Linked DNA regions of Arabidopsis thaliana. The protein of the gene in region 1 interacts with the protein of each later gene in a pairwise test. Each region holds a gene or a part of one and is shown in the gene's direction. Other genes may lie near its edges.

Region 1 (8,402 bases):
GGCAGTTTTTCCTAGATTGCAATGAAATAGCTGATCTTTGTGATAGTGCAGAACGTATCTTCGCAAGTGAACCGACTGTATTACAGCTTAAAGCTCCTATCAAAATATTTGGTGATCTGCATGGGCAGTTTGGGGATCTTATGCGCCTTTTTGATGAATATGGTTCACCATCTACAGCTGGAGACATATCGTAAGTGCATCACTAAAACTTGTGACATCAGTGGCCCTACTTCTTGCTACTTTTTGCTGGACATTGCTCATTTTGTTGTTTAATTGTCAGATATATCGACTACCTCTTCTTAGGGGACTATGTTGATCGGGGTCAACACAGTCTAGAAACAATCTCCCTTCTACTTGCACTAAAGGTAGTCCTAAGTGTATTATGTCAGTTTTGCCTTGATGCAGGTGTTCTAGTTGCTTTTGACCATAGAAGGTTTGACGTTCTATTTTTGGTACTGCAGGTTGAGTACCAGCATAATGTACACTTAATTCGGGGAAACCATGAAGCTGCAGATATCAATGCCCTTTTTGGCTTCCGGATAGAGTGTATTGAGCGAATGGTAATGTAATCTGCTTCTGAATCTCTTGTTTCCATGTTTATTTGTCTCATGTTGTGGTTGCTTTGTAGGGTGAACGTGATGGAATCTGGGTGTGGCACCGAATAAATCGTTTATTCAATTGGCTACCTCTTGCTGCATCGATTGAGAAGAAAATTATCTGTATGCATGGGGGTATTGGTCGTTCTATAAATCATGTGGAGCAGATAGAAAATATTCAACGTCCAATTACAATGGAAGCTGGCTCCATTGTTCTTATGGATTTATTATGGTTAGTCCTTAGCTTCTATATGTTGGTCTGCTTAATGTTTTGGTCGAGTCTTACTAATTTGTTAATTTGGATTTGTTAGGTCGGATCCAACTGAAAATGACAGTGTCGAAGGTTTAAGGCCCAATGCTAGAGGCCCTGGATTGGTTACTTTTGGGGTAAGTAATTTTCTTGTGTTTTAATTTTATGTTGTCTGAATTTCGTTTTTCCTCCCTTCAGAAAACCAATAATCTCTTTCTTTTCTCACAATATTTATTCTGTGCAATGAGGTGCTGCTATTGTTAGACCAAGAATATATGATATTTTTTTCTTGAAACCAAGGAATATAGTCTAGTTTGCTCCCAATAATTTACCATATGAAGAAGTGTTAATTGCTTTTGCTTTTCATTTTTACCTGTTCTGTTACTCACCAAAACTTGGCAATTGTAGCCTGACCGTGTCATGGAGTTCTGCAACAACAACGATCTTCAGTTGATTGTACGAGCACACGAATGCGTAATGGATGGATTTGAGCGTTTTGCTCAGGGGCATTTGATAACGCTCTTTTCTGCTACAAACTATTGTGGTATGTACATGGACTCACTAAGTGCCATAACCGGATTTTGATATTTTGATGGGGTTATTTCTGTTTTCTTAATAGTTTTTATACTAAATCTCAGGTACTGCAAACAATGCTGGGGCTATCTTGGTACTAGGGAGAGATCTTGTAGTGGTACCTAAGCTCATTCATCCGTTACCTCCAGCACTTTCATCGCCTGAAACTTCACCAGAAAGACATATAGAAGACACATGGATGCAGGTTCATATTGCTTCATTTCATTACTGAATCTTAGTCCATAGTTATTGACCTGAAACATTGGTACTTAGCGTAGTATGCACTTTTCGCAGGAGCTGAACGCAAATAGGCCAGCGACGCCAACCCGAGGACGCCCACAAAATTCAAATGACCGAGGAGGTTCTCTGGCTTGGATGTGAGGCAGATAAAGAGGCACTCGTGCACATACATACCGCTCCAAAAAACACTTGTAACATCTGCCTCCTGGTGTTCCTCATGTGTACAGAAAAAGATGAGCCATAGACGAGAAACGATGAGGCTTGAAGATATCAGGGGGTGTGTAAATTAAGATGTTAAAAGGTTAGAGAAGTCAGTTTTGGTGGTGGTTTAGTAGTGATTTGTAGAGTTTATTTGTCCGGGCTTTAGTCCTCTCGTTCATTTTTATTCAGTCTGCTGTTTCTTCTTTTTTTTTATCATGTCATATCTTTCTTTTTTCCTCTTCAATTGTCTCCGTTGTTTTCGTTTGTGGTATAGTTTTTTGGCGAGTGGGTATGAATTCTTAGAATGGTAATGGTTGATTAGGTGGAGGATGGTCTGATGTCGTGGGGGGGGGGGGCTTTTGTGTATTTTAATTTTATTGTCAGTTCATACTTTGTAACATTTGTGTTGATTATATGATACGAAAAATTTTCCTGGCTCCTTTTGGTTGTCTAAGCTAGACCAAAAAAGAAGAGAAAAGAAAGAACTTATGCCCTTGAAAGCGACTTTGAGTTGGTTCATGGATCCTCGGGTGATGGACTCAGTCACTCGATTTGCTTGAGATTCATAAATTTATACATGTGCTTTGTGGCCTTCAAATGAAACACTGGTGATGTCGATATGATGTGATTTGGCATCGATGCTGTCATTGGCTCCAAAAAATCATGTTTTAGCGGTGAGAACAAAAAAAACAAAATTTTTGGAGGATCAGATGGTTGAAGTTAAAACTCGAGGGTATTAGATGGTTAAATTTTAATATTGTTTTGGATATAGGATGGTGATTAAAAAAAAAAAGTTTTGATTAGTGTTGGTGCAGGAATTAGCATCTCCGATAATACCAATTTAAACCAAGGAATAACGTGAATAAAATCGAGAATTCGATTGAACCGGGGTATCCCGGCTAGTCTGTTAATGGGCCTAAGTCATGAGCTCGCCAGAAGATTTAGGTCGACAGTCAAGATCGCCATAGGCGGCTTCTCAGGTCGTGTAAAGGGAAAACTTCCATTTAAGAGAAGAGGATCTCATGAAGAATAGAAGTAATGAAGATTTAGACCTAAGATAATTAGAAGTTTATCATATTTTGGTATGTTGGACCCATTGTATAAATAGGGGGGGGGGGTCAAGCCCTCTAAGAGGATCATGACCAACCTAAGACAAGAGACTACTATTACAGAGCAAACTCTAGCTTTTTATTCAAGCAACTTTGTTCTTCTCCTTTGATTATTCGTGAGCTAAGAGAGAAGTGAATTTGTCTAAATCCCTTAGTACAAATTAATTGTTTGATTAGAGAATCAACAATTAGTTTTGAACCTGATGATGTATTGGTCAAACTTGTAATCATCGCATCTGAGTTTGAGGTCATTTTTTCCAACTGTTGTTATACATATAAAATATCCAAAGAATAAAAGCCTTGTACGATCGGGGTATTGGGGTCCGTACCAACTTGTTGACATTTTTTATGTTTTTGGTGTGTGGCAGACTAGATTGAAACAATAATGACTAAGCAACTCAGTAAGAGTCCTTTTTTTGGACTCAGTAAAAGAGTCCAAGTTTTCTTTGAACAACAAAATTTTGTTGAGGTGTGTATGCACTTGGTTGGGAACAAACAAGTAGATGGCAAAGATCATTCGAACATTGGAGCCCAAGTGTTGAGGGCACTAATCTTGTCGATTACAGAAACGAAATTATTTGGGGAAGCTGCAAGAAAAAGTTTAGTTAAATCTTTTATATTCCTTAATCAAAATGTATCATGCATACACTATATACAATTCACTAAAGTATGATAGTTAAATACCTAATTAATATCATGATCAACTCCTACCGGTTCATCTAACTAATCCAGCTCAGCATAAAAACCCTCACGCGTCGCTCCAATTAAGGGGAGGGCTTAACTAGTGCCCAACTTACTGGGCTAGGTTCGACTCCGTTTTTTTATTACATTTTCCTTTTCCATTTCTTTAAGACTTTAACCCTGAAATCTCGAAGTGCAACGCACCACTAATTTTTTATAAATATTAACATAACATTTCATGAGTCCTAAACAAGAGTCTCTCTTGGTCTTTATAAATACATCGATCCATGTACATAAAAACAACAAGTCATCTTTTCTTTCTATCTGAAAGTAATCAGAGAATCAGAAAACACTTGAGAGAGCTGAGTGACCATCAAAAGGTGTTATGGAGAAAGTGAGAGAGATAGTGAGAGAAGGGATTAGAGTAGGGAATGAAGACCCGAGAAGAATTATTCATGCTTTCAAAGTGGGACTTGCTCTTGTTTTGGTCTCTTCCTTCTATTATTACCAACCTTTCGGTCCTTTCACCGATTACTTCGGTATCAATGCAATGTGGGCTGTCATGACCGTCGTTGTTGTCTTTGAATTCTCCGTAGGTTCGTCATCTAGTTTCTATCATTTGAATATGTCTAGTAGATATATCTAGGGAGAATGCAAGAATTTTTGTTGTAAACTTTTGGCCATAATATTAAATAACTTTGGTTTGATGTGTACTTAGGGGCTACACTTGGGAAAGGACTAAATAGAGGAGTGGCAACATTAGTAGCAGGAGGACTAGGAATTGGAGCTCATCAACTAGCAAGATTGTCGGGTGCAACAGTGGAACCTATTCTTTTGGTCATGTTGGTCTTTGTGCAAGGTAAACCCTTATAACACTCTTTACATTTTCAGATTACCATGCGTTTCCAAGCGTTTGGTCAATCATTGTTTGGCTAAAGACTAGATCAAAGAAGATTGGGCAATGAGTAATTAGTATTGTGATATATGTGCAGCTGCGTTGTCGACGTTCGTAAGGTTTTTCCCATGGGTAAAGACAAAGTTCGATTATGGGATATTGATATTCATATTGACGTTCGCGCTGATATCGTTGTCGGGGTTTAGAGACGAAGAGATAATGGATTTGGCAGAAAGCAGACTATCGACAGTGGTGATTGGAGGAGTCAGTTGCATCCTTATCTCTATCTTTGTCTGTCCTGTTTGGGCTGGACAAGATCTACATTCTCTCCTTGCCTCTAACTTTGACACTCTCTCCCACTTCCTTCAAGGTTTTTTATTTCTTTCTCTTTTTCTTTTCCTCATTATGTCTCTACAAGAACATAAATATATACATATACGAGATAGTGAATGTGAAATTGGCAGATTTTGGGGACGAATATTTTGAAGCGAGAGAGAAGGGGGACTACAAAGTAGTGGAGAAGAGGAAAAAGAATCTTGAGAGATATAAAAGTGTTCTTGACTCCAAAAGCGATGAAGAAGCTTTGGTGGGCTACTCTCTCTCTTTCTTTCCCTACTTGCTTCACAATTATGAAATCATTTGGATTGATTTTGTTTTGATATTTTGCGTTTAGGCTAATTACGCAGAATGGGAACCGCCTCATGGACAATTTAGGTTTAGGCATCCATGGAAACAATATGTTGCCGTTGGTGCATTACTCCGGCAGTGTGCCTACAGGATTGATGCCTTGAATTCATACATCAACTCAGATTTTCAGGTAATCGCTAACTTTTTGTTAGGTGTTTGCATATTTAATTAAAACAAAATTTGAAAATACATAAAAGAAGAAAAACTAATATGCTATTATGCTATAACTATTTTTGATCTAATACAATATATATATCTATATATATATATATATATATATTTACATGTCGCAAATGCAAACACAAAAATAACATCAGGTTGAAATTCTTAGTCTGTTAATTTGTTTATATAGTTTTTTTTTTTAGTGTAAACATGTATAGTAGTATATGTTTCTGGTTAACGTGTTTCTAACCCTTTGTTTATTTCTTATTTTTTCTATTAGATCCCAGTGGACATAAAAAAGAAATTAGAAACACCATTAAGAAGAATGAGCTCGGAATCGGGAAACTCAATGAAAGAAATGTCCATTTCACTAAAACAAATGATAAAATCATCTTCTTCTGATATCCATGTCTCAAACTCACAAGCTGCATGCAAATCTCTTTCTACTTTACTTAAATCAGGCATCTTGAACGATGTTGAGCCTCTTCAAATGATCTCATTGATGACGACTGTCTCCATGCTCATAGATATTGTTAACTTAACCGAAAAGATCTCGGAATCTGTACACGAGCTTGCATCCGCTGCAAGATTTAAGAACAAGATGAGGCCGACCGTGCTATACGAGAAGTCGGATTCCGGAAGCATTGGTCGTGCCATGCCAATAGATTCTCATGAAGATCATCATGTTGTCACAGTTTTACATGACGTTGATAATGATAGATCAAACAATGTTGATGATTCACGTGGAGGGAGTTCACAGGACTCATGTCATCATGTTGCCATAAAGATTGTTGATGATAACTCAAACCATGAAAAACATGAAGATGGTGAAATACATGTACATACATTAAGTAATGGGCATCTTCAGTAAGTAATTCAACTCATTATTTGAGGAGCAGTCTTTTGTACCCGCAAGATTATAGAGACGAGACCATCGGTATATAACATATTCGGGTATTTCATTCAGATTTGAAGTTTGTTACAAATACTATTGTCGCCTTTGATCATTTTTGAACTATTGGTCACACATTTAATAAAGTCTTGGTCTTCGTTTTCCTTTGCGTTACTCTTTTAAAGATTTTTATATCCAACTGATCAAAAAATTTAAAAATAGCATGGTTTTATTTTTGGATTATGGTGTTTTAGAGAGCTAACCTCAGTAAATAAAAGAACATAGACCGGCGCCAGATAAAGACAAGTCCGGCAAAAACTCTAGATTGTTATTTTCTATGAATATAATTAATTTTATTCCAAACATATATCGTATGAAAAAAAAAATCATTTATCATTGGAGGAGGCGGTGATCAGGCGCAGTGAGAGGAGGAGTCGGTTAACAAAAGTGGTCTTGGCCAGTGCCAAAGCGTCATTGTAATCGCTTTCAATTCTCAAAACCAATACGGTAATATGCACAACTAATAGAATGTTTCAGGTGACAAATTTTCTCACTAAAGTCAAACTTTCATACTTGCCGATGAAGTAACAAACATACAGTACGTTCAATACATTAAGGATATATATAAGAAACAAAAGCTGGAAATTGTGTGAATTTAGCTAGGTTAGATTATAGTATAATAAAGTTGCCTTGTACGATTGGGGTAATGGCTAATGGATTCCGTACGTTGATGCCAACTTGGTATTGGCAAGGCTGAGTGTGACTCGGTGCAAAAAGCACCAGCTGCTATCTAATTCCGCGTTCTAACCAATACTACATTTTCATTTATTATTACTTTTTACAATCCATAAATCTCTCTGCTGTGGAGGGTTGATATAAGATCCGAAACTTCTTTGTTGATAAAAAAAAATCTAACAATCTTCCAAGTTCAAATCTCACTCAGGAAATATGAATGACTGAATATTTAATTAGATATTATCGAAATTGTGATTCTTGTTGACAAAAAAAAACAAATCTCATAAGAAGTGGTGATGTCAGTTTTCGTTGAGAGAAAGAGAATTTAAGTGGATATGTTCAATATACAAAAAAAAAAAAAAAAAAAAAATTGGACAATTTGGTCGAATATTAATAAGGTAGGTCTAAATATTAGTGAAAGTAACATATGTGAATGCCCAAAACGGACGGATATTTTACTAGCTTTGAAACAAAGAAACGATGGGACAAAATGACAAATTGAATGTCTATTTATTTGGAGTTTGTCATGATTATTCATGTCAAAAACGCAAACTATTATTAATAGACTGTTTATTTTATTATTTTCTTACACTCGCCGAAAATGTTCAGAATCGGAAATAATTAGATGTAACGTTCCTGTAAAAAATGCATTGAGTTTTAATTTTATTTTATTTTCTTAAAGATAAAAAATTTCTGTTAAATGAAAAATGAAAGAGTTGTGAATTACGTTTTTTTTTTTAATATTGATTATAAATGTACAGCTAGCAACTTTAAAAATGGTTAGAAAACAAATGTTGGATAGCACTATTTTATTTTTACATAAAGAAAATCTTTTGGACGTGGAATTTTAATAGAAATTTCGGAAATAAATTAAGAGAACAATACTAAAGTATGCTACTAATAGCCGCTTTTAAATATCGGATAAATCAGCACCAAAGTAGAACTTGGTTACGTAAGTACTAGTCTCTGCCTCTAATTAAAAATACTCTGTCTCCAGTTAATTATATTTCTCATTTTCAATTTCTTTAACCCTCAACGTACGATATGAAGTACAACGCACCACTGATTTTTTTCTTAAAATAATAAAATAACATTTCACGAGTCCCGAACAGGACTCTCTAGTCTCATAATGCTCATTATAAATAACGACGATCCATCCGCTCAAAACAACAAGTCATCTTTCTACTTCTTCCTCTCTTTCTGAAACTTATCAGAAAGTTGAGTGATAATCAAAGGGTGTAATGGAGAAAGTGAGAGAGATTGTGAGAGAAGGGAGGAGAGTAGGTAAAGAAGATCCGAGAAGAGTAGTGCATGCTTTCAAAGTGGGACTTGCTCTTGCTTTGGTCTCTTCCTTCTATTATTATCAACCTCTCTACGACAA
Region 2 (6,677 bases), on another chromosome or scaffold:
TTTAGCTCTTCAGATTATTTACTGTTTTGAGTTTTGTTTTTGAAGGGATTGGGCTAAGGATGAAGCGAGAAGAGCAAGAGAACAAGCAAAAGTGCTAGAAGAAGCTAGAGGACGTTGGGAGAAGTATGGCCTAAAAGTGATTGTTGACAGCGACCTCCATGAACAGACAACAAAAACCGAATCTACTTGGCTGAACGCAGGAAAGCAAAATCATGTAGAAGGAACCATGAAAAGAGCTGGAAATCTGATTGCTAAGCTGAAGAAGATGGCGAAAGATGTAGGAGAGAAATCCAGAGAAGTAATTTACTTGATCATAGAGAAGATAAGCCTTCTGATATCAGCCTTAAAACAACAAGTTCATGGCATGGAGAACAAAGCCAAAGACCTCAAAATCAAAACTAAGTCTAAAGCAGAGGAAGTGTGGAGACAAACGAGCTTGAGGGCTGATGAGATCAGAAATATCTCTATAGTGAAGGCTAAGGAGACTGTGGAAGAGTTTAAGGACAGAGTCGGTAAACTCGGCGAGAAATTCAAGTCGAAGTAGGTTTATGCGGTTTGGTTGAAGATTAAGATTTGTTAGATAAAGATGCAAAACAATGAACTGTCTTAAATTCCAAAACCGGAAAGCTATGAGCCCCAACTTAGATAGATGACTACACTGATTATATGATTGTGGTCTTCGCCAGTTTTTACTACTACCACCATTTAGTCTTTGAATCCATTCTACAAGCAATTGAAGAATAAATATGGTATTGGATCAACTTCAAATTTTGAAACATGATAGGAAATTAAGTTGAGTCTCACTAATTTTTCTTAATATCTGACCATATATTTAAAATTAGTTACCAAAACCTTGGCAGTAAATTTTTAGTTAGATATGATAAAAGATACTATTGTTTTGATTAAAAAAAGGTAGAGATGATGAGATTTCTATGTTGAATTCAAAACAATAAAATAAATATTAGCTAAGATATCACGAAGTGATAAAGATGAATCTTTGATTAAATCACATTAAAAGTTGAAAAACGATATCATAAGAGATTTTGTGTTCTCTATATGTAACGCTATCTGGCAACATTCTTTCTGCTTTCCAATAAGGTTCATGAAGAATGGGTAACACAATTTCGAATGCAACAACGTTATCATACGGTGAAACGACATGCTCAAATCCAACTTCTACGATTGCGAGCAGTTTCACGGAACATCCTCGCCTTCTTGCTATTCTGTCAAGATTGAGAATCTCGCACAACTTAACAATGAAAAATACCAATCTCGTCGTTTCACGGTAGGCGGGTATTACTGGTATGTAGCTATAATCTTGCTCTTATATATTACCATTTATGTTTTATGAGACATGTAACACATATAGACCATGATTTTACTATGTACACATTAGCTCCTGAAGGGTTAAATTAAATCTTCATCATAAGAAAAGAACATGAATCTTTCTTACTTTATGCAATAATATTTCTGTTAAAAAGAAAACCTGCAGGAAATTGATTATATATCCAAAAGGGAACGACGAGGACCATGGAAGTGGTTATATTTCAATGTACGTAGAAATAGACAGCACATCTGAAGTTTTTGCATATGTCAAGTTCTTCGTCTACAATAAGAAAGAACAAATGTACTTTACTATTCAAAGTTGTTGGTTTAAAACATATCTATATTATTCAATATTTATATTAACTATATAAGACTTGTTCATTTGTCACATATGTCACGTTGAATTACTCCATTTTTTCTAATAGATACTGAAGTAAAGCGTTTCAATGCTTTAAGAATGGTATGGGGATTCTCTCAAATGCTTCCTCTCCACTTATTCGAAAATCCAAAAAATGGATATATATTCGACGGGCAAAAATGCGAGTTTGGTGTTGAAGTGATGGTTGTTCCACCCCTTACCAATTGGGAAGTGATGTCTTTTGATCAGAAACTCTCACCATCCACATTCTCCTGGAGTGCCAATGGTTTCTCCTTATTGACAGAGAATCTTTATGTGTCAAACAACTTTTCAGTTGGAGGAAGAGAATGGTGAGGCTAATAAGTCATTGAATATATATACACGTCTATGTATGCTAAGTGTATACAAAATAATGTGACTTTTCTATAGGTGTTTGAAGATGTATCCAAAGGGAAGAGAGGCAGATGGCAAATGGTTGTCCTTATTTCTGCATATATATAGCTGATAGTGAAACCTTTTCGGAGGATGAGAAGATTTACGTGCATGCAGATCTCCGAGTATTATACCCACGTCCACATGTATACAACAATCACGTCACACAGAAACGTATAATTAACTTTGAAACACAATTTTCTATATTCTTGAATAAATCACTTAGTTGCTTTTTTCAAGTCTTAACTAAATTTTCAATACCTTACATATATTTATTTTTCTTGCAGTTAACGTCTGTTACAAGAAATCAACTCAAGGGTGGGGTTGCGAAGATTTTGCGGCTATAGCCATCGGGAGTGTAATTACTTGGACAATGACACTTTGACATTGGAGGTCGAATTTAAAGTTGTTTCTACAACCAAGTATTCTCACCCATGATCTAAGCTCTTCTTGTAGAATATCTACAATATTCCATATTCTACTACAAGTCTAGTAATCTACAATGCCTTGTTTCATACGATTTCTAGTAATTAGTTCCTTTTTAGTTAAATCAATTCTACAGTTTATGGTTCCGGATTCATTTCCTGCTAACTAATTATATCATTTTTTATAACTAGTAATCATTGAAGCTTATAATTGAAATCTATAACTACAAAGCCTAGTGCACTTACGTCCAGAAAGCCAAAATAATTAGGCTTCCTATTAACACATATATTTATATGTTTCTTAAGAACTTTTACGAAATTACCTGCATGTAGTTAAAATAATAAAATCTAAACTAATTGTGAGCACAACAATAATCCGCCACGTCTTCTAAACCTCTTCCATTCAAAACTCTTCACTATCCGCCACGTGTCCCCTTCTTCACACTCTTTTTATCTTCCTCCACCTCTAAAACTTTCTCACCACATTTTCCCGAGAAAACAAAAAAAAAAAACTTACACCAAAACGATGTCTGGAGGTGTCGGTCCAACGTACAACGACATAACCTTACCCAAAGAAGAAGAAGAAGAACATCAAACCCAATCCACCTCAACAGTATCATCCACCGGAAAACCCGCCGGATTCTTCTCATTCCGACAACTAAACATCCTCGCAATAATCATCGTTCTCTCCGCAAGTGGTCTCGTAACAATCCAAGATTTCATATTCACGATCCTCACTCTCATCTACTTCTTCTTCCTCTCGAAACTTATCTTCCCACCACACAACAATCCAAACCGTGACGCTCCTCTCACAAGCTCCACAAACAAAATCTTCCGTATCTATGTTACAGCGGCGGGGATCGTCGGGCTTATCATTCCGATCTGTTACATCTTCGAAGGAATCGTTGAGGATGATAAGAACGGTGTTAGCGCAGCTGCACCGCACGTGTTTCTTTTAGCGAGTCAGATTTTTATGGAAGGATTAGCGACCATGTTTGGCTTCTCTGCTCCGGCGAGGATTCTTGTTCCGATTGTTTACAACGCCAGGAGGGTTTTGACTCTTGTGGAGTGGATTATGAGTGAGTTCTCGAGGGAGGATGTGACGGGGACGGTTTCTGCGCGGCGGATGTATGCCGGGAAAGTTTTGGCGGCGGCTAATTTAGGGATTTGGTCGTTTAATCTCTTTGGTGTTTTGATTCCGGTTTATCTACCCAGAGCGTTTAAGAGGTATTACGGTTCTGATAAGGAGGATTGAAATCCCGGTTTAGTTCCGGTTCCAATAAGGAGAGTCAAAACCCGGTTTAATTCCTTTGTGGTTCACAGCTCTTGTTGTTTTCCCTTTTTGTTCTGTATATTATTTCGATGTTTTCTTTTGAACAATTCAGTTTATGTAGTAGTTCACAGTTGTATTAGATTTCTTACGATAATAACCGAATCTATGTTTCTGAAAGAACAGAAATGAAAATGTTTTAGTAATGATATAGAATAAGACCATTCACGATCTCAGTTCAAACAATATATTTGTATGAAACAGTAAAACAAGAAATAAACAATTTATATCAATGTAACAAGATTAGATGTAGGAGCTGATCCAAGAATATTCCAAAGTTTCCAACTACATGAGTACAGAAGTTAACTGCAAATCAAAGCTTTAAGCTTATTTATTCAGTGTGTATAAGTTGTTAGAACCCAAATCTCTTACCTTTTTTCACGATCCATGTTCAAGGTTTGTTACTTATAGGGTTTTATATCTCTGTCTTTGGTAATGAGGAAGAAGAAGAAGAGATGTCATTTTAATTTGGTTAGCTGACTCCAGATCGTAACCCCGGGAAGAAACTCCAGCTGTTTCCTGCAACCTTCTCGATATTCTCGTCTTTCGTGTTGTCGAATTTAAATTCTTTGCTAGATCCAATCGATGAGGAACTCAGCTTCTGAATTCTATGCTGTTCGTTCTCTCTGTCTCCTGACCTTTTCTCTATGTTTCTTCTTATGTCTGTTGATGAACTCTCCTCTGTTTCGATCCGGTCATTGTTGTTCATTCTGTCGTGTGATCGATTTAGCTTGCTTGCAAGACAACGTGCAACGTCTTCACCTGTTAACTCAAACGAAACTCTGTGATCTGCTACCATGACTTCAGAGCCATGATCCGAATTTGCCAGTGAAGCGACCTCAGAGATCTGATTTTGAAGAGGCCATGTGGTATTGTTGGGTGTTAAGTTTCCAGATACTATCTCTGGACCATTTGGTGTCAGAGCGCCTGAAGCCAAACCTGAACCATGCCCAACAGGTGTGATCGATCCAGAACCGAACCTCGATCCCCATTTACGAGCTGTAAAGTGCTCAAAACCCAAGAACTTTGGAGGCTCGCCTATTCGAAACTCAACCATGGGTGATTTACCAGGGTAAGGAGAAGATGTACCAGAGTTTGAAATCACTGACCCGGGAGAGATTAGATTACCACCACCAGGACTCCCCGGACACACCTGATTAGACCGAAACTCATAGTGCGAAGACGAAAACTTTTGATTCATCCCACTAGTACTATCCCTCCGAGTTAGCTCCAACGAAGAAGTAAGCAACTGAGCAAAGGGCACTTCAGGTGAAGAAGGTGTAGTTATATGGACTGATGATTCAGGAGGTGGAGTATACGGTGCAGTAGATGGCTCAGTTATAAACGCAGAGAACACCGGAGGAGTGACTGGTTGAGTTTCATTAGCATAAGGTCCAACGGTAAAGACAGATTGAGGCTCCTTAGGCGAGAATGTATTGCTAGTAAGAGAAAGTGGACCAACAGGCGAGTGAGAAACCGATGAAGGATCCGATTGCAAAAACGAAGCTGGAGATGAAGGAGGAGCTATAAAGGGAAGAACAACAGTAGTTGAAGTAGCTGAGTTTTGAACAGTAACTACCGGAACTCCAGATGTAACCGGTTCAGGTACAAGCACAGCATTACCAATCCTTTTATTGTTCTTCTGAGTTCCAAAACATGAATATAAACTCCAACATTTTCCCCATCTTCCCTTCTGTACAAATTAAACACACAAAATTAGACTCATCTTGATCCCCTTTAGAGAGAACTGTTTCAACAAAACTTTCTCAAAGTAAAAGCTTTTGATAATAAAGTTAATCTTGTTTAGTTTCTAATAAGTAGCTAAACGTTTGTAATTCACTTTTGGAGAAATTTATACTATCCGTGGAAAATTAACCAAACATGAAATAGAAACGCTTTTAACCTTTTTAATCATGGATGCTATTATGACTTGTAAAGCCAATCCACAAAAAGATTGAAAAAGCAACAACGCATCTTTTTACCTTTTTGAGACCACAATTGTAATCCAGAGAGAACAAATCAAAGTCGTGAAATCAAGAACTAAGCTCACCATTAGCTCTGATCTAGAATCGTAATCAAAATCAAAACACCAAAATCGCAAATTCAAATCACATTCACTACAGTTTCGTAACTATGAGCTAAATCAAAACAGCAAAATCGCGAAATTCAAAACTAAGAACAGATCAAATTTTCAGAGCAATCATTCAAACAAAAGCTATAAATCTCGGAATCACGATCTAAATCAAGCAAGTAACAATACTGATCTATGAGCAGAAGAAAAACACATTTCAATCACGGAAAATCTGGAAGAAGAAGCTTAGTAGTTTACCTGAGAAGAAGACGGCTGTACTCGAGACTCGGCGGTGACGATGGCGGTAGCGGCGGCGTTAACAGTCTCAACGCTGTTATTAACAACGTTCCTCATCTTTCGAACTCAGATTCACACCGACTACAATAACATCCAGATTTGCTTGCTTACTACTACTCAGAAACCACCACTTGGATCTACTACGCAGAGAGATTTTCCCGAGAAAATCAAATGAGAAAAGGATAAATAAATCAAATAAAAAGCGAAGAAGGTTTTGTATAATGATGGATCGAATTCTCTCTCTCTCTCTCTCACTCACACCGGTCGTTATCTAGTCCAGCTTTTCATTCAATTTCACCACGAGCTTTTGCCACGTCATCACATTTTAGATGGTTCATGGTTCCTTTCCTTCACACCACCACACGCGCTTCACTTAAAATAGTTATGCATCATTTGGGAGGGTAAATAACGGTTTGATCGGTTTGGTTCAATCCCTAG
Region 3 (8,212 bases), on another chromosome or scaffold:
TAAAGCTATATATAGTCAATAAAAATTATATATTGAAGGAAATCTCATCACGATTATATAATTGGTCTTGAGTCAGTTAAATAACCGTACCTCTTAACTAACAGTATTTTCATCTAAACATGAAATACTAATTTTTATTTTTATTAGAAAAATAGAAGTAGACATACATGCTAATTATTTTTAAAGCGATTGAGAATTCCAAGGAAGACAAACATCAAACATATTACTGTTCTTGTTCAATTTGCAAGGTCCATCTTTGCGTATCTTCCATTCGCATCTTCTACATCCAAACTCGGCGAATTCTCTGTCTCTACTCTGTTTGTAGATATCGAACCAATGCAACTCCTTATCCCATATAAAACCGCAAAAAAACAAAGTTCCTCCAAAAACACTCGGTCTAAATTCAAATGACCAAGTTCCATTTACCGCCATATTCCGGTCTCCAAGATCATCATTTTTTGATTTACAATGGTATCTCAATGGCAGATGACCCCCAAGATCATTGTATATCACCACTGTTGTTCTTGGGTTGTCGAAACCGGATGTTGGAGTTGGAGGGATGCTATCCTTTTGGCCTCGAGATATTGTTACACTAACACACATAGTCACTAAGAAAGCCACAAGTTCTACTAGAGATCCCATTTTTTTTTTTTTGTTGCAATATGAAATTATTGTATATGGATGAATGACTCTTTCACTCGATATATACTGTGTTACCAGTTTATTACATTTCCGTAACATGTTTTTTGTTCTTCATATGTGGTCAAATAAAAACTTAAATGTCATGGTTGATGTATATGTAGTCAACTATGGTGTTAAGCCCAATAAGCTTTATAAAAGCCCAATAACATTTTCAAAAGCCCGAGAAAACCCGTGAAACTACGTCCGATCCGAAGATCGATCACGCGACTCTGTTATTTAGAACGACGATCGCATTATTTTTCTCCTAATAAACAAAACGAGCCCGCCAGATTTCTCTGAGACAGTGATTCAGTTTTGGTTTTGGAACCTAATTCTCTCTCAAGAGATTCAGCTAAGATGAGTACTATGAAATTTTGCCGCGAATGGTAAGAGCTCTCTTATGCTAATTCTGTTCCTAGTTTCTGGAATTGCACCTCTCTGCTCGTCTAGGTTTTTTCAAAGTTTCGAAATTTGCATGAATTTTTTAGTTTTTGTTGTTTACTTTTGATGTATTTCTTCCGTGGTTGAACCATCTATGGTTGATAAGGTGACAATTCGCTAAAAGTGAGTACCTTTTTTCGAATTTTGTTTTTGGGTCCTTTCTTAATTGCATTGTTGTTTCTGTTTGATTTTGGTTCAGTAATAACATTCTGTATCCTAAGGAGGACAAAGAACAGAAGATCCTCCTCTATGCTTGCCGTAATTGTGATCACCAGGTATAGCTTTTGGTCATTTTGTACCTTTTTTTTGTGTGGAAAAAGGGTTTTTAGTGTTCAATGTAGTGCACAAAATTGCGAGTGGGACTTAGTTTCATTGCAATTAAGAGACTTTAATGAAACTGTTTCCTGCTTTTATCTCTCTTTTAATGCTCCTAGTTTCCTTAGTTTTACCAACCTCTCTATTTACTAACTCCTTCAATTAAGGCTTAGCAAGTTCTTATGGTTTATCTTTCTAGTGTTGTGTTTATGAGATCTATATGAATACTTGAAGGGCCTCTTTTAGCTTATTGATTTACACAAACTGAGTAGTTATTTGCAATTTTTTAAGCTGCATTATCAATCTTGTTGTTACAAATTGACAGATTAGATTAGATCATGTAAATGGGTTTGTTGTCCTCATCTCAGAATTTATACTTTTTGTGGCACTGACTTGCAGGAGGTAGCTGATAACAGCTGTGTGTACAGAAACGAGGTTCATCACTCTGTAAGTGAGCGAACTCAGATCTTAACAGACGTGGCTTCTGACCCTACTCTTCCCCGAACCAAGGCTGTGCGTTGCTCTAAGTGTCAGCATAGGGAGGCCGTTTTCTTCCAGGTATAACTCTCTTAAGCTCCATTATTTATTTAACTACTTGGTTATGCTGTATCTTCACTGTTTGCTTCCCCAAAACATTATGCTCAAATTCTGTACACCGCTTGAGGATTTAATGTAGCTATCATTGAATGTGCAGGCTACGGCTAGAGGTGAAGAAGGAATGACACTGTTCTTTGTCTGTTGCAACCCGAATTGTGGTCATCGCTGGAGAGAATAAAGAGCTTTTCGGTTTCAATTGGTGAGTTCTTAAGAGTTTTAGGAGTTGATGTAGTTACCAGTAAGTGTAATATGTGGAATGACGGGAACAACCTTCTGCCCCAGTCAGAGACAAATCCGTATTCATGTAATCTGTTATGAAACCATAATCTCAACTTGTGTTTCACCAAACATAAAGATTGGAACTTGTTTCTCTTTGGCATTTAGAGGAAATGAGAAATTCAAACCCAAACATTAGCTACTGTCCTCCACGGCTCATCTCCCAGAAGGCAACCTCTAGTTCAAGAACTCGTACAAGTACATCTTCAGCTTCACCGAGCACCTCACCGGAGGCATTCTCCAGACAACGTTCGGCAATGTTCTTGACAGACGAACAATACTGTTTAAACCCGTCATTCCCCCAACGATGACAAGCACCGGTAAGCTCCACCGGAGTTTTGTTCCCGTCTTCTAAACAATGAGCAAAGCTCTCTTGATACACTGCTTCAATTGCCCAGAAAGCTGTCATAATCACCGGATACTTCACCTCACTGCTCATCAGATCTTCCAAAAACCTGAATTAACCAGAAACTCCGGTTTATTTGCTGGTTCCTAATTTCATTTTCGAGTGTGAGAAATCTATTCAATCAGCATATATGAAATCAATAACCTGCCATATTCTTGATTAGCTCTTTGAGGCACAACGGTCGAGAAATCAACATCCCATTTCGATCCTTCTCTTTTAAACCATTCTATTTCATCATTCAACGATGCTATACCACCAAGCACCACTTCCATATCGGAACTCTCGCCGGAATCTTTGCAAGCTCTGATCAACACACTCGCTACAAACGGCACAAACCTCCTCACGAACAGATAATCTTGCCCCTACAAGGAAACAACGTCGTTTAAAAGTCATCGAGTGAGATTTCATATTTTGCCTTGTTTTCATCAGTAATTACTAATTACAGTACCAGCCAAGTTCTGAAGGACGAGAGATCAACGGATCCGTCACGGATCGAGACGACAAAAGCATGACGTGTAGCCGCCGTATAGATCGAACGGTGCTTATCAATCCATGTGTCGATCACCCCTCTCTTCTCCATTGAAATTGCTTCTTCTTCCTTTCTCTCAAGACTCAAGACTCAAGACTCTTCTTCTTCACCGATTCACTGTCAACGCTTTGATTTTCTGTTGTCTGTGACGTGCACGTTTCATTGGGCTTTAAATTAATGGGCCAAGGCCTATTAAAGTCTCGCCACGATAGCTTAATGATTCTCCCAAATCGACGGCTGTAAAGAGGCGCTTAAATTTCTCAGATTACGTGACAGTTTCTGAACCGTTGAGATGTTTGGATGACTAAAGTTTATTAATTACGTGGCACTTACTCAGAAGCTCTCTCACGTCACGTATCCGTCGTTAAAGAGTGTGACGTGGAAAATGTTTTGGAATTAATTTTGTGTGTTTGTATTATATCACCGTACTAATTAGCTCATCTCCCGAAGCCATGTGGTAATTCTAATTTTGTGTATTTATTATTTTCTGTTAAGACGAATCGGACAGAGAGAACTCCGGCGGCGGATTGCACTTCCGGCAAGATCTCGTGGGGATAAATAAGATGGCGGATGAGAGGTATAATCGGAAGAATCCGGCGGTGAAGAGGATTTTGCAGGAGGTTAAGGAGATGCAAGCTAATCCGTCTGATGATTTTATGTCTCTTCCTCTTGAGGTAACATCTCCGATTCTAGCTTTTTAGATCGGGAATTTTGATTCGAATCTATATTTGAAATTTCCTTTTTTGAGAAAATCCCCTTGTCTTATGTTGTTGTGTTATGTTGTGTTGTGTTGTAATTGTGTATCTGTTCTGAGTGATGGTGTTTGATTTTAGGCGATCATGATTAGGGAGGATCGATATATCTTCTTGTATACACTGAATTTACTAAGTCTCTCTACTTTCAACACTCGTGCAACAGATAAAGTTTGGATTTTTGTGTTTTTATTGGAATAACTGAGTCAAGTGGGGAAGATTACGAACGATTCCTTGATCCACTCAGCTGTCATACTAGTTCTTCGTTTCTAATTTTTTTAACTGTGAAGACTTTTTCCAACATGTCATGGTCCAAATAGATTGCGCGCGATGTTATAGCTGTTTTTTACAAGTTCTTGTGTGATACCAAATAGTTTACATGATTACTCTTATCTATCTTTTAACTTCAGGAGAATATCTTTGAGTGGCAATTCGCCATCCGAGGTCCTGGTGATACTGAATTCGAGGGCGGGATTTATCATGGGAGAATTCAGTTGCCTGCAGATTATCCATTCAAACCTCCTTCATTCATGTTATTGACCGTAAGGATCTTACTCTTATTTCATATATAAAAACACACAGATGTTGCAAGTTCCATAAGAGAGTATGTATCTAAAGAATCTCTGTACTTTTGTTTCAGCCTAACGGGCGCTTTGAAACTAACACCAAGATTTGCTTGAGCATTTCAAACTACCACCCTGAGCATTGGCAACCTTCATGGAGTGGTAAAGTCATGGATCTCAAGAGACCTTATCTCTTGACTTTTATGTTGTTTCCTAAAAGATTACTCAGACACTTGTAATTTACATGAGGTTGAACTATATCAGCTCTTTTGTATTATGATTGAGCTTTGTTTCTTTTCAGTTCGGACTGCTTTGGTGGCTCTCATTGCATTTATGCCCACAAGTCCCAATGGAGCACTGGGCTCAGTAGATTATCCAAAGGATGAGAGACGTACACTAGCCATTAAATCACGTGAGACACCACCTAAGTATGGCTCTCCTGAACGGCAAAAAATTATTGATGAGGTATAGTTCCCCACTAGAATACCCTTGGGTGTTGAACCACTATGCATAATATCCTGATGAAAATATATGAATTTAGCTAGATGCTTGCTGAACCTGTAGAGTATGTGCCATACCATTGCATTGCATCATTATAAACCATAGGACTAGCTGGTGGTCAAAACGGGATCGCAATATATTATATATTAGGCTTGCATATCTCTAGCGGTTATGATTTAATGTTTGCTCTAAGAGTATCTGCTTTGTTTTAACTGCAATCACAGCTGTTATTATTCTCTCCATACAGTAAAATTTGCTGCTCAAGTCCTAACACACCATTTTACTGATTATTGTCGTTTTTAAAAAGTAGTCAGTTGCACAAATATAAAAAAAAAGACAATAGTAGTGTTAACAATCTCCTTTTGGTCTAAACTCTCGTCCCTTTCTTCATGATTTTTGTTATGACTTTAGTTTCATACCTCTGATTCATCTTCAATTTTGGAAAAAACTTTTAGTAACCATGACCTTTTAACAAGCGCAGATTCATCAGTACATCCTTAGCAAAGCAACCGTGGTTCCAAAACCTCTTCCTCTGGAATGTAGCCAAGCACCTTCCATCGTATCAGAAGCTCACTCCCAAGTTGAGCCACAGGAAGCGATAACTGTAGTAGAAGAGCGGTCCATCGCTACAACAGACACCATAGTTGATGATCAAATCATAGAAGAGACAGCTGAAGCAGTCAATACAGCAGCTAGTGTGGTTCCCGCTGCAGCACCTTTACCAGCGGTTGAAGTTGTGGTCAAAGCTTCTGTAAGTGGTGAGCAAAGGATGGCCAGAAGAGCGGCTCAGAAGCCAGTCGATGACAGACTCTTCACGTGGGCGGCGGTTGGGCTCACAATCGCTATCATGGTTCTTCTTCTGAAGAAGTTCATAAAATCAAATGGTTACAGTACTGGGTTTATGGATGATCAGTCTTGAACTCTGATGAAAGTCAATGCTGCGTTTAAGAAATGGGGTTGTGTTGTTTAATATTTTATAAATATAATTAAAGTGCATAATGGCGTAAATAATTTCTGTGTGACATTGTCTTGCAACTTAGTTGATAGATTGGATTATAGCTTGTGACCAAGTTAACAATATGTATTTTGGAATTGAACACTGACGACCGTTTTATCAATACATTGATGCTTTGTTAATAGAATTGTTGATTACCTCCACTATGTTCATAACTATTTCCCGTTTTGAGTACATGATGTCTAAAATGTATCCAAATTTTTAAATCAATAGATTTCATGGTCAAGTTTAACAATTTGATCATATATGTATGTATATGAACACACATGTAGTGAGTCGTGTGGTTTATATATTTGTGTGTATTTTCATTATAAATTACAGAAACATATTAGTTTTGGGGTATCTTCTGCACACATTAGTTTGGTGTGATCTCATCTTGTACCTTATTTTTTTACTTTTCAGTTTAGAAAAGGTTATCAACTTTGACCTTTGACTGCCATATAACGTTAAAAAGAGAAAAAGTTACCGAAGGTTCAAATTAATAAATGAAGTTGATCGTAATGAAAATAATATTTTTTTAAAAAAGAAGGGATGGTGGCAAAAGAAGCTAAGTTAAAAGTCTATCAGTCCTTATTGCTCAGGGATCCTCAGGTACTAAAACTAGCAAACACTGCTTTTGCGTGTCTTTGAAGTCAGATTTTTAACAGCAATTGTTTCATCTGCCTATTACTATAAAATAAAAAAACACTTTGATTTATGGGAACGTGACTGCTTTTTCCACTATTATAACCTTGACTCGTTTTTAATGAAAAGAAGCATACATATTTGGATACTCACTTTTGCCCATTTATAACACCAGAGAGAGAGATATAGGGATAGGGCGAGAGAGAGTTATACTAAAGAAACTTGAAGGAGAGGAGGTTCTGAGTGAGATAGAAGAAGGAAGAGAGAGAGAGATGGGTAAGAGTAGTAACATAGTTTTTGATCGGATTAAAGAAGAACGGCAGATGTTGAGCTTTTTCAAGATTTTTCAGAGGGCAGATCTATCCTCTGACTGCATGGTAACGTTGTTCTTGATATCTTTGTTTGAAAAGTGGGAATCTTTTTCTTCTTTTTGTTGAATGGGTTTCAAGTCTACGGCTTATTCATCTTTTGGTTCTCTTTGTTTTAAAGATTGCAACTGTTTTTCCTCTGAATCTTTTACGTTCTCTGTCTTTGAAACGTTGAATCTGTTGTTTCCCTGGTGTTTTAAGGGTCTCAGCTTCTCGAGGGTTGAATCTTTAGGTTCTGTGTGTTTTAAAAGTTAGATCTTGTAAAAAAAATAAAAAAAGTTAGATCTTGTTAGCTTTTGGCTGTCTTTGTTTAATGAAAGGTTGAATCTGTTAAATCTCTGAATATTTACGTTCTCTGACTTTGAAACGTTGAATCTGTTGTTTCTCTGCTCTCAAGACTCTTAACAGTTTAATCTTTGAGTTCTCTGTGTTTTAAAAGTTAAATCTTATAATCTTTGTTTAAATGGTAGAGTCTTTTGGTTGTCTTTGTTTAATAAAAGGTTAATCTCTGACTCTTTACGTTCTATATGTTTGAAACGTTGAATCTGTTCTTTCTCTGGGTTTTTATGGGTCTCAACGGTTGAATGTTAGGTTCTCTGTATTTGAAAAGTTAGATCTTTCAGCTTTGGCTAGAAGGTAGAATCTTTTGGTTGTCTTTGTTTAATAAAAGTTTAAATTCTGAATCTTCACGTTCTCTGTCTTTGAAACGTTGAATCTGTTGTTTCTCTGGTGTTTTTAACACTCTTCATTGTTTGTTCCAACCAGAGAGCGCTTCCTTACAGCTTCATAAGCAAAGTCTCTGAGAAAGACTTCTCTTACAAGATGGTTATAAGAGCGCAATGGGGAAAGACATGGGATGTAGAAGTCTCCAAGAACCCGACATACTACTACATTGAGACGCGTGGATGGGATCTGTTTGTGAGTGACAATGCTTTAGGACAAAACGAGTTCATTACCTTCACTCACAGAGGAAATATGGTCTTTCATGTCAACATCTACGAGCAGAATGGCTTAGAGATGCGTAAACCTCGAAAATTCCAGACGATGGGTCCTTCTAGTAAGCTTTTGTGCTTTTAATGCTTTCTTTAAAACAGAGAATATGAAGTTGAAGAAGACTAATTATTTTACTCTTGATGATTGATGA
Region 4 (8,206 bases), on another chromosome or scaffold:
TCCCATTACGCTTTTGACAATAGATTGAAACTCATCATCAGTGTATTCACGGGTTGGAAATGGAACCATTCTTATCACTGAGGGGCTAAACAGTGTCCATGGCAGCTCAAAGCGTAGAGCTGAACTAAGATTTGAATGTGATAATGGCAAGTCGTTATTTTGCTGAGAAGCAAATATAATGAAAGAGTCTACCACCTGCTGGAGCTGCAAAAGGGTATAAGACCAATCAAAACTGGGCGAAACCAAGATGAAACCCCCTACTTCAAGAATTTCTATTCAAATCAGATGAACTGATTTAGTTTACTAAATGGTAACTACTACTTTAGTGTGTGATAATCTAACACCTGATTTGGAATTTCTTTGACTAATCCTATATTTCCCTATAATAGCATAGATTATATAGTCTACAGACAAGAATTATCTGACTACTGTACTGCCTAGTAGCTTTATGGGGAGAGCTACAAAGATGATAGAAAAATCATGGGCACAGATTAGACAAACTTTCAATGAAAATAAGTAATGGCCATACAGTCAAGAATCCGCTAAAGCTGTATTGCATTGTTGGTATGGTATTAATCCCCATTTCGAGATCATTGATATAAGGTCCATTTGTGTCCATGATCGACTTGACATTTGGGAATCCTGCGAATGCCCATGTGTGGTTCAAGCGGATGCTATAATCAAACAAATGAGGTCCTTGTTCATGGAATACCACTGCTCCTTTTATTTTTGGATTCGAACAATTCCTAAGCAAACATGATGAGGCTTAATCAGTTTTAACATTTAAAAAAAAAAAAAAAACGAAAAAGCATAGACAGCTAGTTATAACTTTGATGATAGTACTAGTGAAGATAAAATGCAGACACACTGGGCATGTGAAGCCAAAATATCTCCCTGTTTCCAACATAGAAAAGATACCAGTCTTGTTCAGGTAGTATAATCATCAAAGTTGTAGCAAATTTGTAACAACTAACCCAAGGAGATACTGCCATTATTCAAGAAATGCTAACCAATTCACAGAATAAACAGAGAGATGTACAAGAAAAAGTTTGAAGGCGACAAGAAACTAGGGATGAAATTGCCTTCTTATTAGCTGGAAAAAAGAACAAAACATACCTCACTTCGCTACAGACACCATAATGCGCAGATGTTATATAAGTTTCCAGCTCTATGTCATCTTTAAAAATTTTAGTAACTAGCTGCAAACAGAAGACACAGGGTCGATTAAACGTGTGACATATGAAGAGTAACTATCGATCTAGAATGCAGCATAAGATGAAGACGTGATGATGATTACCCGCAGTTCCGGAAACTTAAGAGACAAAATGTCGATCATGTTATTAGTTTCATCAGTGTCAGGTGCAAAAGCTAAAAAATCCCCCTCAGCAAGCAAAAGCTTCAAAACTTCTGGAAAACTAGGAGAGTTGCCTTTGCCCACTTCGACGACTGTATCTTTGTCTATGTTCCTTTCATGATCAACAGAACAAAATGCAGAAAACGAAATCAAAATCCAATTTTAGTACGAGAGAGAGAGAGGCTAGTGACGAGTGTAAAAAACTGATATCTTACGAGTGAGCCGGGTGAATTGTGGTGTCAACCCGTGTCCTGACGGCTATCAACAGCAACATTACAATAGTCGGAAGCAAAATCTGCCAATGAATAAGAGAAAGAAGCAAAATTTGATCAACAATTCGAAATTTTAAAAACAAAAATTGCATTCAGCATCAAGGAGAAGAAGACCCATTAAGACGAGCAGTGAATAAGCATGAAAACGACATAGTTTTGAGGAGCAAAGAAAAAGAGAGAAACCTCAGCTGAAGTAACGAAGGGATGACGAGTTTTGAGGAGCCAATTCTTGCGGAGCATGGCCTTGAATTGCCTCTTCGATGAACCCATTTTTCCTTGGAACCCAGAAAGAACCCTAGACGATAGATTCTAGTCTTGGCTTCAATAAGAAATCATACTTTTATGGTTCTTCTTTGGGAAAAGGCAAAGCAAAGTAGCAAACTAAGAAAGCAGAGAGAGGTGGCGAAGACTTGGGCTCACCTCACTGACATTTGTGCTTCCTTTTTTTTTTTTTTTTTTTTCCTGCCAATTTATTTGATTCATTAATCAATTTGATTATACAATCAAACAAAAGAATTTTGCAACTAGCTGCGGATAACACAAGTGGTCGACAAAAATAGAAGAATTCCGAAACTGTTTCATTTATTTACGGGACCTTTCTTCTTCTATCAAAAAACCCAAAAAATAAGGAGAAGATTAGATTAGTTGTCGTGATATTAAGAAGGTAATCTTATATTAAACCAAAAAAAAAGAAGAAGATAATCTTATAATTAATATATATAAGTACTTAAGTACAGTTGCTGATGTTGACCCAAATATAAATCTTTGCGTCAATGCCAAGTAGGGGTGGCTCTCTCACGGGCTCCACATTAAAAGCCTAGTGTAGTGTACGTGGAACATCCTGATTCGTTTTAGAGTTGCGTTACGCCAATTATATTACGACGAAAACGACGACGTTCCTAAGTTTGACGGCAAAGTATACGAATGTTTTTATTATTTTTCCGAAGGTTGCCAATAAAAGCCGCCATTAGAATTATTCCTTTCATTGCCACTCCCCAACTTGATTCTTATTTTTATTTTTATCAGTTGTGACACAACTTTAAAGAAATCCACCTTCATATTCAATCCTCAAAAATGCTGTTTTTTTTTAACACAGAAAAAAAACAATTTTTAGTAAAATTATATCAAATGTAGAATCAAAATGACACTATTTTCTTCAACTAAAAACAATGAAACTTTTTTTTTAATACCATTAACTTTTAATAATTTATCTGGATTTTTTCAAAATATATGATCAAATTTCAAGTAACATCTAAATATATGTTAAAGATGATTTTGTTTGGGCTGTCGTTTCCAAGGATATTTTTGTTATCCGCCAGAGACAAAAAAAATCTGTTATGAGAAGCGGGGCTACTGGGCCAGCTCTTTGTGGCCCATAATTTAGAAATATTTTAAAACTTATGTATTGTTTTTGTTTTTTTTAGGGTGCGATTTTCCCGACTAAACCAACTCTACTTGTCTGTACATGTGTGTTCGACTAAACAAAGTTACAATCGTCTTCTGCTTTGTTGTTCGTCCATCTTCTACAATCGAACCTACTTCCCTTAACATCCAATAAACCAGAGAATAAATTGATGGTTTTCGATTGTCTCCTGTTAGCTCGATTTCTCCGCCGGCGACTTTTGGGATCAAATTTGATTCTTCACGATTAAGATTGAATTCGCCATTAGGTAAAGCTGCTGAATTTTAAATGTCTAGCTCAAAATCCAAACCCAAAACAGGTCCCAATCTAAGAAAAGTATTCATTCGTCTTTGCCACCTGTACAACTTTTTAAGATTTTCGTTTTTTTCTCTATTGGTGAACAAGTGATTATTTTAGTCTACCTTTTTTTCGATTTCCACTAACTAAAACGCAAGTAAATTTTTATCTTTTGTTTTAAGGGATAGTGGAGGACAAAATCTTGAAAACTGTTTTTGGATCCCTTCACCAGGTCATTCTTATTCTGCTTCTGTAGAAAGTAATAAACTAAAGTCATAATCTATCATGAATATGTGAACTTTTTTGAATTTGTTGTCTTAGTATCAAAAAGCTATGGTTTTGAAGATTACAGCTAAACTTTTCAAACAGTGTCTTTAATAAGCATTAGGAATTTCTCGAATGTTTACTTGCCACATTGTTCGATTATCTCTTGTCTCTTTTTGCACATTCCTTCATGTCTTCTTTCTTGTGTGTGTGGCTGTGGCTTAAAATATGTGCAGGTGGAGCATCATTTAAGAATCTTATGCTTTGGCTACAACGCCTATGGATACGGGTCAAAGCAGCATAGAACCTTATCAAGCCAAGTCTTTTAGTCGGGAGAGCAGTGTAGCCTCTTCTTTAAGCTTATCACGTAGTTTGCCTCACCTAATTGACAATGACGTCGATAGTGAGAGTGTCTCAGAGGCAGGGGATATTGGGGACCGCTCACTTCGGAGAAGGCATAGTGCTGGTAGAAGCAGCCGTTTGTCTGCTGATGATTTTATAGAACAAGGGACTCATGATACTTCTCGTCAAGAACAAGATATATTACATGACCTTCGAGCTTTCAACACTGCTTCCGTAAATAAAACTTTGCCTGAGGACATAACAGCATCTCCTTTACCGACCAAGTCACTCTTGTCACCTGAAATAAACAACTCCGTAGAGACTACCTCTAACTTTGCATAGTCACATCATTGTTAGTATTGGTTTCTTTGTCCAATGTTTTGATCTATTGTAGCTCGTGGGTTGCACAGGGAAAGGAGGAAGAGCGAGTGTTACCAAAGTCCTTGGAGTACATATCATGCCTAATTCATTTGGCTGTTTTTGGGATTTTTGGGGTAAAATGCTTATTTTCCATTTTCTGTCTGTCTCTCTGTTGTGCTTTGTTTTTGTTTAAATCATTATAATCAACTCGTTGACTCCAAATATACAGGCCATTACGAGATATTTGCTGCAAAAATTGTTTGGGCCAACTGGTGCTCGAGTAACAAGTGATGGGAGCATCTTGTACCTTGATCTTCCCTCCAACATGGTGAAAGTCGCAATGCACTCATCTCAAACTTAATTACAAACCTATCTTTCTTAATAAAAATTCTCCAAATGCTTCCTTATAGGTAGGATCATTCTTGATGGGTTGGTTTGGCGTTGTATTCAAAGCAGATATAGCAAGAGTTTCTGAATTTGTGGCGATAGGATTATCGACTGGTTATTTGGGGAGTCTGACAACATTCAGCGGTTGGAACCAGAAAATGCTGGATCTTAGTGCTGATGGTCAATGGGTGTATGCTGTGCTTGGCTTTTTATTAGGTAAAAACAAAAAATTCCCTTCTCAATCTCCAATCACCTACTAAATTGGATGAAACATACTTGCTTACAGCATAAACGACTTTACAGGATTGTTTCTCACGTCATACTCCATAATTCTGGGAGTGGAAACGGCCAAAGGGTTTAAATGGCTTCTTCATAGAAGAGCTTCTTCTGAGGATAAATTCCATTGTCTTAAGGTTAACACCTTCCAGAGCCATATTGTGTCTCTGACCCTGATGCTTCTGTTGCTTGTGGCTTTACTCACTGCCAGTTCCATACTGCTTGTGAAAGAGTTTGACAAAGGAACAAGCGAGGCTCAGCTATGGTTTGGTTGCTTAGTTGCAGCCCCTGGTGTCTGGCTCAGATGGTTCTTAGCCCGACTCAATGGACGTGGGCTGGGAAAGGATAGTCAAAATTTGAGATGGGTCCCATTTGGCACCCTCATTGCAAATGTAGTTGCAGCTTGCGTTATGGCAGCATTGGCTACCTTGAAGAAATCGGTATAAACTTCCTCACCTCCTCTCTCTACCAAACAGATCAAATCACAAAAGATAACATTCATTGTATATATTTTGGGAAACAGGTGAACACGAGAACATGTAACACGGTTGCTTCGAGCATACAGTTTGGTCTGTTGGGATGTCTGAGCACAGTTTCGACCTTCATGGCTGAGTTCAATGCGATGAGAGAAAGTGATTACCCATGGAGAGCCTATGCGTATGCATCTTTTACCATTGTGGTTTCTTTTGCGATTGGAACTATTATATACTCAGTCCCTGTCTGGGTAATAGGATTCAGTTAGTTGTATCAAAGCTAGATAAGTCTTGTGCAGATGATGTGATAATACATAGTCGTAACATTTGGTAGAGATGAATAATTAGATCGGTCACAATCAAATTATATTATACCTTGTGCAGAAATATTAAGAGCAAACTTCTATACTATAATGATAACTTTTTTCTGTTTTACACAAAATATCATGATTCTATATTCCACACTGGAAAAAAAAAAACACAACCACTAACAAAACCTGTACATTCCTGCTTCAGACCATTGTCACACTTTTCCCAACTTTTTCTCCATAAAAGAGACAAAGAGATGTCAAGTCGACGAATTCATCTCAAAAAAGGAGAATCTGACATACATAAAGTCTAAAGGGAACGGCTCATTTCTCTTGTGGGAGGTAGCTGTACGTGGAACAGCTGGTCTCTGTCTTTGTCACCTGCAGAAGAAAGAGAGCCAAAGAAAATGACATAAGGAAGATGTGTTGTAGTAACCTCTGAAGTCTCTGGTTCTATAGATATATGACTACGAACCTCTGAAGTAAGAGAGGATCCTGAAGGAAGAAATGGTGTCCAGAGAATAGGGTCTGCAAGAGGATCCAATGTATTGTAGTTGGTGAGCAATGGAGCCGTTAAGAGAGAGGTAAGTGGGTACATGCTTTTCTGAAGAGACAAAGCAGCAGCACCGCCTAAAGCAACTCCATGACTCACAACTGGTTTCTCTATTGCCTTGCCGTTATTCTTCTCCATATTGATGATGTTACGGTTTGCATTCTCATCGTTTTCATTATTGCAGCTTTCTTGGATCTTCAACACTTTCTCCTCTAGGCTCTTGAAGGCAGGCGACTGAGACAAGATGCTTAAAGCAGAAGAGCTTGATGGTGATGATATTTCTTTTTCTTTTCTCTGAGTTCCACAAAGGACGCCAAGGTTTGGCGCCTTGTATGGTTCTGTTGCATGGGATGTGTGTTCCAGTGTTTTAAGCTCAGTACCAGCATCTTCGACGTTTGCATCCTCTGATGCTTTTGATGAAGATTCTGGTTGACGGTTCTTGTTGGCTCCCCACCACTTTATGTATCCTGTTAGATCAATCTTTCTTTCCAGACAAAAGCTACCTAGAAAGTCACCTTCTGTTCCACGATCATCACCTGCCCCTGTTAATAATGACAATGAGTTTTGAATAGTCTGATGCAAGCAAACATTTGTTTCAATTAGGTCAATATTGTTAGCAACTCACCGTAATGAATGTTACTGAAGTATTCAGGTCCAGGCATACGACTGGCTGATGCGTCCCATCGGCTGGTCGGGAAGTGCAGAATAGATGGAAAGACAGCAGAAATGCATATCAGGTATGAATGTTAATTGTGAGAAAGAAGGTTAAAAAGACAAAACTAAAGAGGGCTACAGCCAAAACAGTGAAGATAGTTTTGCCATATCCCTATTCTTAAGAGTAGCATATAGACTTTTCTATGAAATTAACTAGTAGCATATCCACCATATGTCAATTAATCAAAACCGTGATGATCCACAATGTGTCACTAAAGAATCTTCCTTATAGGCAATTACACAAAGATGATCACTCTTGATTCCATAGTTTTTCAGACAAAACAGAGAAATGAGAACTCAATTGCTGGTCCAGTTTTACCTTTGAAGTCCACGATATTTCGCTATTCCCCTAGAGAAACCGCTGCTTTTTCTGCCAAAGGGATATCTAAAGAGTATCAGCAATAAATGGTTCTTAAAAGAAAACTATAGTGCTTTTAAATACATACGCACCTACGTAAAGATGCAAGGTATTCTTCCCTTGAGAGATTTTGCATTTCTTCTAAATCCCTGGTATAATCAGTCACCTACGAGAATGAAATACGTAAATGCATGTAGCTAAAAACAGTGAAACTTGAGAAGGGTGGCTCCAAAACACTTCTAACCATCCTTACTCCACTTATGCATATATATTGACCATGAAAATTATTAAGGAAACCACACGGTTGAAGAGTAACTTAGAAAGCATACTACGGTAGCAATCTCACCGGAAAATTTATAAGTGTCCCAGGACCCCAATATTTTAAGGCAGCAAGGTCGTAAGCTCTAGCAGCAGCCTCTTCATCATCATATGCTCCTGTCAAGTAAGAGTTGGGTTCTTCAGTGAAAAATTATCCAATTTGATATACAAGAATATAATCAACACATATAAAGCTTTTAGCTTACCTAGATAAACTGGTGTGGCGAAATTCCGTCACCCATGAAAATATATAGGAAACAGAAAAGATCAGCTTTGATACTCCAAACAAGAGAAAACTTATTGCAAATGACAACAGCAATTTTATCAGATGCAGAGAGAAAAAAAAAAGAAGAAGAGGAACCTTGTTTTCCCTTCTTGTTCTGGTTTTGGTTCCAGGTACTCTTATCCCAAAGGTGAGCTTCATAACGACCTGTCCATCTATGTCTGTACTCAACACAAATACGACAAACAAAACGCATCAACATCTCCAACTGCTATGGAACAAAAACCTCATACAGATGCTAAGCA

The links.
Region 2: the proteins of ALMT1 (region 1) and AT5G52420 interact in a protein complementation assay, tested with the Arabidopsis thaliana proteins (one large-scale study listed by BioGRID).
Region 3: the proteins of ALMT1 (region 1) and UBC32 interact in a protein complementation assay, tested with the Arabidopsis thaliana proteins (one large-scale study listed by BioGRID).
Region 4: the proteins of ALMT1 (region 1) and AT2G41705 interact in a protein complementation assay, tested with the Arabidopsis thaliana proteins (one large-scale study listed by BioGRID).

The regions. Positions count from the first base shown.
Region 1 is NC_003070.9:2,654,765-2,663,166, forward strand, and holds ALMT1 (aluminum-activated malate transporter 1), read left to right. Parts: upstream 1-3,837; 5' UTR 3,838-4,035; coding exon 4,036-4,246; intron 4,247-4,368; coding exon 4,369-4,509; intron 4,510-4,642; coding exon 4,643-4,915; intron 4,916-5,009; coding exon 5,010-5,131; intron 5,132-5,218; coding exon 5,219-5,362; intron 5,363-5,674; coding exon 5,675-6,265; 3' UTR 6,266-6,546; downstream 6,547-8,402. Other genes in the region: BSL2 (BRI1 suppressor 1 (BSU1)-like 2), read left to right, coding at 1-190, 281-365, 462-560, 629-828, 908-983, 1,255-1,390, 1,485-1,624, 1,714-1,800; AT1G08440 (aluminum activated malate transporter family protein), read left to right, coding at 8,263-8,402. UniProt on the Arabidopsis thaliana protein: Malate transporter critical for aluminum tolerance. The STOP1 transcription factor is required for ALMT1 expression.
Region 2 is NC_003076.8:21,278,750-21,285,426, forward strand, and holds AT5G52420 (uncharacterized protein), read left to right. Parts: upstream 1-3,023; 5' UTR 3,024-3,067; coding exon 3,068-3,796; 3' UTR 3,797-4,057; downstream 4,058-6,677. Other genes in the region: AT5G52410 (oxidoreductase/transition metal ion-binding protein), read left to right, coding at 46-544; AT5G52430 (hydroxyproline-rich glycoprotein family protein), read right to left, coding at 4,344-5,564, 6,201-6,296.
Region 3 is NC_003074.8:5,793,488-5,801,699, forward strand, and holds UBC32 (ubiquitin-conjugating enzyme 32), read left to right. Parts: upstream 1-3,442; 5' UTR 3,443-3,808; coding exon 3,809-3,919; intron 3,920-4,407; coding exon 4,408-4,539; intron 4,540-4,637; coding exon 4,638-4,722; intron 4,723-4,861; coding exon 4,862-5,025; intron 5,026-5,542; coding exon 5,543-5,980; 3' UTR 5,981-6,260; downstream 6,261-8,212. Other genes in the region: AT3G16970 (Plant self-incompatibility protein S1 family), read right to left, coding at 181-603; NRPB9A (RNA polymerases M/15 Kd subunit), read left to right, coding at 1,039-1,067, 1,322-1,397, 1,837-1,995, 2,132-2,212; AT3G16990 (heme oxygenase-like, multi-helical), read right to left, coding at 2,450-2,765, 2,861-3,078, 3,165-3,296; REM22 (AP2/B3-like transcriptional factor family protein), read left to right, coding at 6,973-7,077, 7,834-8,125. UniProt on the Arabidopsis thaliana protein: Accepts the ubiquitin from the E1 complex and catalyzes its covalent attachment to other proteins.
Region 4 is NC_003071.7:17,394,215-17,402,420, forward strand, and holds AT2G41705 (camphor resistance CrcB family protein), read left to right. Parts: upstream 1-3,055; 5' UTR 3,056-3,296; exon of another isoform or gene 3,297-3,825; 5' UTR 3,826-3,868; coding exon 3,869-4,246; intron 4,247-4,341; coding exon 4,342-4,425; intron 4,426-4,520; coding exon 4,521-4,619; intron 4,620-4,701; coding exon 4,702-4,894; intron 4,895-4,981; coding exon 4,982-5,394; intron 5,395-5,477; coding exon 5,478-5,696; 3' UTR 5,697-5,867; downstream 5,868-8,206. Other genes in the region: ABCA1 (ATP-binding cassette A1), read right to left, coding at 1-204, 530-746, 1,117-1,199, 1,298-1,466, 1,570-1,649, 1,810-1,896; AT2G41710 (Integrase-type DNA-binding superfamily protein), read right to left, coding at 6,046-6,830, 6,914-6,975, 7,322-7,372, 7,453-7,526, 7,707-7,795, 7,885-7,893, 8,040-8,122.